Linked DNA regions of Ovis aries. The protein of the gene in region 2 purifies or fractionates together with the protein of the main gene of each other region. This does not show direct contact. Links are inferred from orthologs where the notes say so. Each region holds a gene or a part of one and is shown on either strand. Other genes may lie near its edges.

Region 1 (3,914 bases), on a different chromosome or scaffold from region 2:
ACCTCCCTGCTCCCAGTTTCCCAAGCGAGAAAGTTCTGAATGACCTGACTCAGTGCTTCCCTTCTCCCGTATTAGTGCACAAGTGCCCAGTCTCTTCAGTCGTGCTGGACTCTGCAACCCCACCGACTGGAGTCCAGCAGGCTCCTCTCTGTCTGTGGGATTTTCCAGGCAAGAATACTGGAGTGGGTTGCCATTTCCTCCTCCAGGGGATCTTCCCGACCAAAGGATGAACCTCCAGCTCCTGCATGGGCAGGCAGATTCTTTACCGCTGAGCCACCTGGGAAGCCCTTTCCCATATTAACCATATGCCAAGTCATATTAATTTAAATCAGTTCCTCCCCCACAGTAACTCAATTCTCCCTTCCATTCTCAATGCCCTCATTACCTTTCACCTAACTATAACAGCCATCTAACCGGTATTGACTCTTTCCTCTAATTCAGTCAATTAGTTCCTATAAATACAATTATGACTGTGTAACTTAAAATGACAATTAATGGCACAAAATAAGACCCAAACCCTTCAACTTCAAATTAAAAGCCACCCAATACCTAGCACCAGTGTTTTTCTCTGAACTCCCTATTCCCATATGCGCATTGTATGTGCCAGAAGCCTAGAATTTTCTCAAACATGAACTGTGTTTTCTCACGGCCCCTCCTCTGTTCATCTTATATTCTCTGCCTCAAAACTATTGACTCTTACTGTGCATATTTATTAAATTCTTACTCCTGAACTCAGTTTAAATATCAACTCCTTCTAAAGTTTTCCATAATCCCCTTATAATATCAAATGCAACCTCTGTCATTAAAACTCCCATAGTGTTGATTTCAGCTTCTCTAATGACATGAACACATTTCTGACTTATACTGTAGTTACTTTTGTAAACAGCGGGGTTTTTTTTTTTTGGCCATACCTCATAGCTTATAGGATCTGTTCCCTAACCAGGGATCCAACCTGCACCCTCAGCAGTGAAAGCCCAGAATTCTAACCACTGGACCACCAGAGAATTTTCCTGTTAAGTAGTTTTTAAAGGACAGTCTCCCATATGAGAACAAGGATCTTGATTTTTTTCACTGCTATATGATCAGCAACTAAAACAGTGCCTTGTACACAGCAAGCATTTAAGTATATTAGCCAAGCAGACTATATTTTAGGCATTCTTATGAAGATACAATGAAGGAGGAAATGGCAACCCACTCCAGTATCCTTGTCTGGAGAATCCCCTGGATAGAAGAGCCTGGTGGGCTACAGTCCATGCGGTCGCAGAGAGTCAGACACGAGTAAAGCGACTCAACACAAACGCAGGAAGATACAAAAATGAGTAACACGAAGCAGTTAATAAAGCTGTTAAGTAAATGATCACAAAAACCTTAATAAAGGTTTTCTGATAAGGACAATTTCCATCATACACACCCTTACTCAAAACTGTATCACACAAAGACGATTCTCTTCAATGTTTTAGAAAATACCGACCAACAAAGTCATTTTATAGGACAGTAGAAAAAAAGTCAGTTTTAAAGCCTCACATACATCTTATGAGTCAGTAAAAATTTTTTTTAGAAGTAGCAGTTCTAGGTGATAAGACTTTCAACAAGATCAACATATACTTGAGAAGAAATGCAGCTTCTCAAAGCCATCTAATAAAGAGAAAACATCTGCCTTTCCTGGCCTCAAAAATTTTTAAGCAACTTAATAGCTAGCTATGTGAATCATACCTGATCAAAACAGAAACTGAAAGTAAAAATGTCTACAGCATAAGTAGAACAACTTAATATTAACATTCCCAAGCTCTGAAAGTTTTTTAAAGATACAACAATCTCACAGCTTTGATTTCAAAAACAGGTTTGGTTTTCGACACACTTAGAGCAACTTCCCTTAAACTTTTTAAAAATTCAAAAAGGCTATTTGAATCAGCATGATGACAAAACTCTTGAGAATCACTCTAAATTTCAGTTCCCACAAAATCTGACTCCAGACACTGTGTCTTGGCAAAGCTGAGACTTCCTTCGCTCCTCTGCAGAAACTAAACATCCCAGGACGCCCTACTACAACTCAATCAAAGGAATAGCACCTTTATTCCCACAACTAAGAAACGGAAAACGAGGCTGTCCTCCTAGAAAGAAAAGGGAGCTGAAATCATCAAACCCATTAAGTGATCCCTAATTGCTTTTTCTTCCAGGTAGCGCGTTTACATCTTTTAAAAGGCAGTCACACTCAGCACAAAAAGAAGGGGAGAGAGGGTGACTCCTGGCCTTCCCCGGGTTAAAGGTCAGAGTTCCGGCCCCATCAGCCTTCTTTTCCGAAGCACAAAGCGGAGCTTCACGCTTCCGCACCGACTTGGGACCCAGCAGTGACTCAGCGGTAGGACAACTGAGGCCGATGGGCGCAAATCTAGCCTTGGAGAACACAGCGGACGCCTGGGGAAGGGAGGAAACCCCCTGGCTGGGCCAGAATTCGGGTTCGTGGGGGTGCCCCGATGACACGGCAGAACCCAGGCCCAGACCGGGCCCCGCGTCCGCCCACCCGTTACCTGACCCCCTCTCCCCTCCCCCCCAGCCATACAGACCTGTCGTACTCAGACCGGGTGAGAAACATGGTAAGGGCAGGAGAAAGCGGCAGTGGCTACTCCGGGATTCTTAGAGCCAACACGAGTCCACCTGCAACCAACTCACCCACACCGCCACACTGCCAGGGCCACTCTCCCAGCTGCGCGTGCGCTCGCCACCCTTCAGCCCGCCCTCCCGTACCTGTCTCTTATTGGTTGATCGGAGTTCCCGCCGAGGTGATTGGGCCAACGAGCTAACCCGCCGGGCCTCCGGTGGCCCAGGGTGGGCGGGACAAAGGTCGTTCTTCCGTTTTAAATCGCTAGTGGTTGCCAGGGGCGCTCGGAACTGAAGGCGTGTGGTCAACCTGTCCCAAGATTGTCGACTGGGTAATTTTATGGCGAGCCGGACTGTCTGAACCCTGGTTTGATGGGTCCCTATCAGAGAGCGTTTGTCCCAGGCTCTCCTCGCTGTCCACCCGCCCGGCTGTTAGCTGTATTCCCCGCTCTTCCGGCTCTGGCGCAGACTTCCCTCCAGGTGCTGTGACTGCCTGCAGGACTGAACTTGGGAAATGCTTGCGTCTGCACCGGTGCTGTGAGCGAGTCCATTCACTTCAGCTCACCCTTCCCATGGCTCGTTTGTTGAGAAAAGTTGGTGAGTTTTAGTTGGTAGGAAGGTCTTGAAGTTTCCCCATGGCCAGGGTAATTTTACAGGAAGTCTCCTACATAGGAAATTTCAAAGTTGAAAGTTGCAAACTTTCAAAGGTGGGAAGTGCCTTCCCCTGTCCAGTTACCTAAGATAGTTCACATTGTCACATGTGTGCGTCCTTTACAAGTGGTTTTGCTTTTGTGTTCTTTACAGTAGTATATAGAGTACAGTAGTATAGTATCTTTATTTGAAGGCCAAGATATCCCGAAGTGAGCTAAAGCAGTGGTGATGTAGCTGGTACTACTGTACTTTCCAAGGTACTGTACCATAGATTAAAAGTGTTTTCTTTATTTTTTTTGTGTTTGTTTTTTATATATTAGTGTGAAAAGTATTTAGAAACCTATTACAGTACAGTACTATATAGCCGATTGTGTTAGTTGGATGCTTAGGCTAACTTTGTTGGACTTACTAACACGCTCTTGGAAGGGAACTCATTCATGTGTAGGGGACTTCCATTCTTACCCCCCAGCCACTAGTACTACAGGCTTTCAACCTAGTGACCCAGAGCTCTGGATCTGGGATTCAAATTGTTCACTGCTTTTTCTATTATCCATGAATTAACTGGCAGCAATGTCTTGTTTGTTTTTCTAACTTACCTTCCCTAAGGGTAGGAGAGCACACTCACAGCTTCATAGAAAGCTGTAAATGATACGTTCAAGAAAGAT
Region 2 (3,914 bases):
CTTTTCTTTTTCCACATCCTGAGATTACTACAAACTGCCAACACCCTCAATGAGGACTGGACAAACGTTTTCTGAAAAGAACCAGACAGTAAATATTTGATCTTTGGGAAAATACAATCTCTATCACAATTACTTGACCCCTCTGTTGTAACCGGCAAGGGATATGGACAATACTTCAAAAAAAAAAAAATGAACATGGCTGTGTTCCAATAAAACTTTAATTGCCAGTTCTTTTCTTTGTCCTATTAAGTCACAATAGTTTGAAAAATATTGATTTAAATAACAGTTATCAAGTCAAACCTTCCTGAGATGACTAACAACCAAAAGAAACAAAGCTAGAGTTTAAAAGATACCCAGTTCCTGAAGTGACAACATGACTTCAGCAACATATCAGAAAACACATATATAAATATATCCAGAGAACAAAAGTAAATTCATAATAAATTATACACATGCTCTGAAAAAAACTGCACTTCAGTAGTCTAGTTGTAAATTGTTTAAATTATATTTGAACCCACAGAAATGAAAACTCCATAAAGAACTTCCATAGAGCCCCAGTCAATTTCATTTTGGTAAGTTGCTTTCCATTTCCAACCCTAGCTACTTATTTCTGCTAAAGATATATGGTATTCATTCTAGACAAGTTTAAAGAATCACCACTTTTAAAACAGGAATTTAAAAGTTAGGTACTTGGAAAATTATTTCCAAGTTAGAGGACATGAAAACTGGGAAGCTGTTTGATACCTGCACAACACTGCAGCTCCCATTATGACACCATTACCAAAACCATACAAGAGCAAGCCCAAAACTGGCCGTGTTAACATAAGGCTAAATTACATGTAAAATGTCATTCCAAGACCACAGTTAAAAAGGTAAATTTTAGCAACTCAAAAGTTAATCAATTTTAACTGCTGTTCTCTAATTGAAATAGCTAGGGAAAAAAAACTTTTCAGAGACTCAATAAATATCAGTTAGTGTGTGACTTTAGAATTCAGGATATGATCAAAGTTACAGCAGATGCCAAAAACACCTTGAAAAACAGAAAACATACCAATATGTTGGAAAAATGTGAATTTGAATCAGCCGGCTTAAACAATTTCAATAATTCCAGTCATTTTACTATTATAATAGTAATGGTCCACTTAACCGAAATATAAAATGTGGAGTCACCTGCATTAGTGAATGCTTTAAATACATCAACGAAATGACAGATCTGCAAAGAATCACAATTCTTTCTGAATTAATTCCCTTTGAAGTGAGGACAAATATAGCCCCTAGCTGACTTACTTTATATGCTCAAGACTATTTTAGCACTTCAATATACTTTAACTCCCAAACCTAACACTGTATTAATTCACCCCCCTCAAATGAAATTTATTGCTGGTTAGCTAGAGCTATTTTTAAGTGGCCTTATTAAGTACAGATTCCACAGTATCATTTCAATTTTCAGTGATAGTCTTTCACTAAAAAGACAAACTCTGAAAATAGTATTAATCCCAGGAACTCATTCTTGACACTGTTCCAACAGCAAAAGATGGTAGCCTAGGCATCTGAGAATCTCCCTATGTATTTGGAAAAAGATATTTTAAAAGTATGACCTGAAAAATTACAAAACTTATGTCAATTCCAAATCAAGTTACCAGTAGAGTTAAATACTGCCCACAGATTTTCTTTTTAAAGCTGACGATAAAAAAGTAAATCAAGCTACGAAAAGGCTTTGTCTACAGATCTTATTATCACCAAACGGTCACACATGAAACCTTTGCATGCTACACACACAAGGGAAGCATTTACACTACTAGTCCACATAAGCCTATCTTAAGACTATGCCAGGGGCACACAAGGATTTTCAAAGTATAGGAAAAAACGGACACAAACGCAGTACAAAGCAGTCAAGAGGTAGCTGCCCAGTCACTTTCAGGAAATGTTTCAAGATGAACAGCAAAAATATTCTGAAGTCCCTTGGAATCTTGGGTTGATTTATTATTTTCAAGGCCTAGCCCTTTCCTTCCAAAGTACTTTCATGGGCAAAAATAAAGCACTTTTAACTAAAGCAACTACTCAGCCCCGAAGTTCAATACAACTTGCTTTTCATTAAAAGTTCAAGTTTCTCAAGGTCTAGACATATATAGTGTGATCGTATTACAGTATTCGGGAAGAGCATTTTCTTTGTTGTTGACCCTGCTAGGGAAACAGGTCTTGACTCAGCCAAAGTGGCGTTCTTGTGGGTGATTAATGACAGGCCTAGATCTCGCCCCAGTGACATCCCTCCCCCACCCCACGCCCTCCGTACTAAAATCAGCCCTGTCTGAACTGGAAGAGGGGCGGCCGCCTAGCCTCAAACCACCCAGTTCCAGAGTTAATAGGTGCAACCCATCGATTCTGGGAGACAGCCATCGAGATTCGGGTGAAATGTGTGACCCTTCGTTTGCCTCGATTTCCGTGTAGCACTCTCTCTGATCATTTCCGCTGGGGCTCTCCAGACTACGGAAACGCTCGATTCCAGTCATTCGGCCCAAAGAAAAAGACCTTCCTCTACCCTACAATACCCGGCAAGGCACCATCCCTACCCACCCCACCCCCGACCCCTCCCCCGATATCAGGCTATTCCTATTGTGTCTCCGACACTGAAAGAGCTCCTTAAGAAAAATGTGGCCGCCGAGGACTCTGCTAAGACCGGAGAGCCGTCCTGCACCCCTAGTCCCGCGGCCTCATCCCTCGCCCTCCACCCCCGGGCGGCCGCAAGACCGAGTCCCACCTGTGGTGAGACGGGAGGAGACGTCGCCGAAGGGAGATGGCTCCATTCGGAGATACTTCTGCGGCGAGGCGGCGGCGGCCGAGAAGGAAGCGGCGGTGGCCGCGGCGGCCGACGACGGGGTGGCGGCGGCAGAGGTGGGCGCCGACAATGGCGCACATCGCCTCCGCTTCGGGGACGCCGGGCTCAGCAGCGGGTCGAAATCCAGAGTCCGTTTCAGAGTGGCTCCGCACGCCATGGCCGGGGCGCCGGGCTCGGGTGGAGTCAGGAAGGGAGGGCGAAGGAAGCGGGTAAAAGCGGAGCCCCGAAGAGAGCCTAACCGACGGGCTCAAGAGTGGAAAGCCGGGTGGCGGAGCGCCGGCGAGGGGAGCAGAGCCGCTGCCGCCGCCTCCGCGGCAGGGGCAGTGGCCCGGGCCGGCTGGGGCGAGAGCAGGAGGGGCGGTGGCGGCGGCTCACGCTGGCCGCGTCAGGGGGGCTCTTCCGCCTCCTCAGGCACGGCTCCCCCGGGAGACGCTCCGGCCGCCCCCGCCGTCCGTTCGGGCTTTGCGCCGCGCCTGAGGCGCTCCTGCGCGGAGACCGGCTCCTTCAGAAGTCAATACCAGCCCCGTGAGATGTGAGGCTAGAACGCGGCTCCTAAGACGCTCGAACAGCGGCCGAAGTTAGAGAGCGGTGGTCGATGCGGCGAGATTGAGAGGCTGCGGCAGCGGCAGGAGCTCCAGCAAACACATCCAGCCGCTTCCCCCTCCACTGTCTGACTTCCACCCGCCGCCGGCCCCAATATGGCGTCAATAACAACGCCGCCGATTCAAATCCTGCGGCCTCAGGGCGCGTGCGCATAGCGGGGGGCGGGAGCCCGAGCATACATTCTGGGAGTTGTAGTTTATCACTGGAGGAAGGACTCTGCGTGAAAAGCGGTTAAGGAGAAGTCATGAAAACTACGAGTCCCGTCATTCAAGGCCAGCGATTCCGAGTTCCGGATTGGAATTTAAATCCCCCTACACATCTTGAGTGTAAAAGGAACTGAGGGTAAGAGAAAAGAGAAAAACCCGTTAGAGAGTGGGAGAAAAGAAAGCCGACCGGTGGGGAAAGCAGGTTTTGAAAAACCTTTAATATTCAGGTAGTAGTTGTCGTGGTACGCTCCCACAGTGATTTACCAACC

The links.
Region 1: the proteins of AKIRIN2 (region 2) and PSMA5 purify together in Homo sapiens (affinity purification with mass spectrometry; 3 studies listed by BioGRID and IntAct, with this or other methods). This does not show direct contact. The link is inferred for Ovis aries from reciprocal best matches to the Homo sapiens genes AKIRIN2 and PSMA5.

What each region holds. Positions count from the first base shown.
Region 1 is NC_056054.1:86,671,102-86,675,015, forward strand, and holds the start of PSMA5 (proteasome subunit alpha type-5), read right to left. Parts: upstream 2,707-3,914; 5' UTR 2,594-2,706; coding exon 2,565-2,593; intron 1-2,564. UniProt on the Homo sapiens protein: Component of the 20S core proteasome complex involved in the proteolytic degradation of most intracellular proteins. This complex plays numerous essential roles within the cell by associating with different regulatory particles.
Region 2 is NC_056061.1:49,618,710-49,622,623, reverse strand, and holds the start of AKIRIN2 (akirin-2), read right to left. Parts: upstream 2,994-3,914; coding exon 2,759-2,993; intron 1-2,758. UniProt on the Homo sapiens protein: Molecular adapter that acts as a bridge between a variety of multiprotein complexes, and which is involved in embryonic development, immunity, myogenesis and brain development.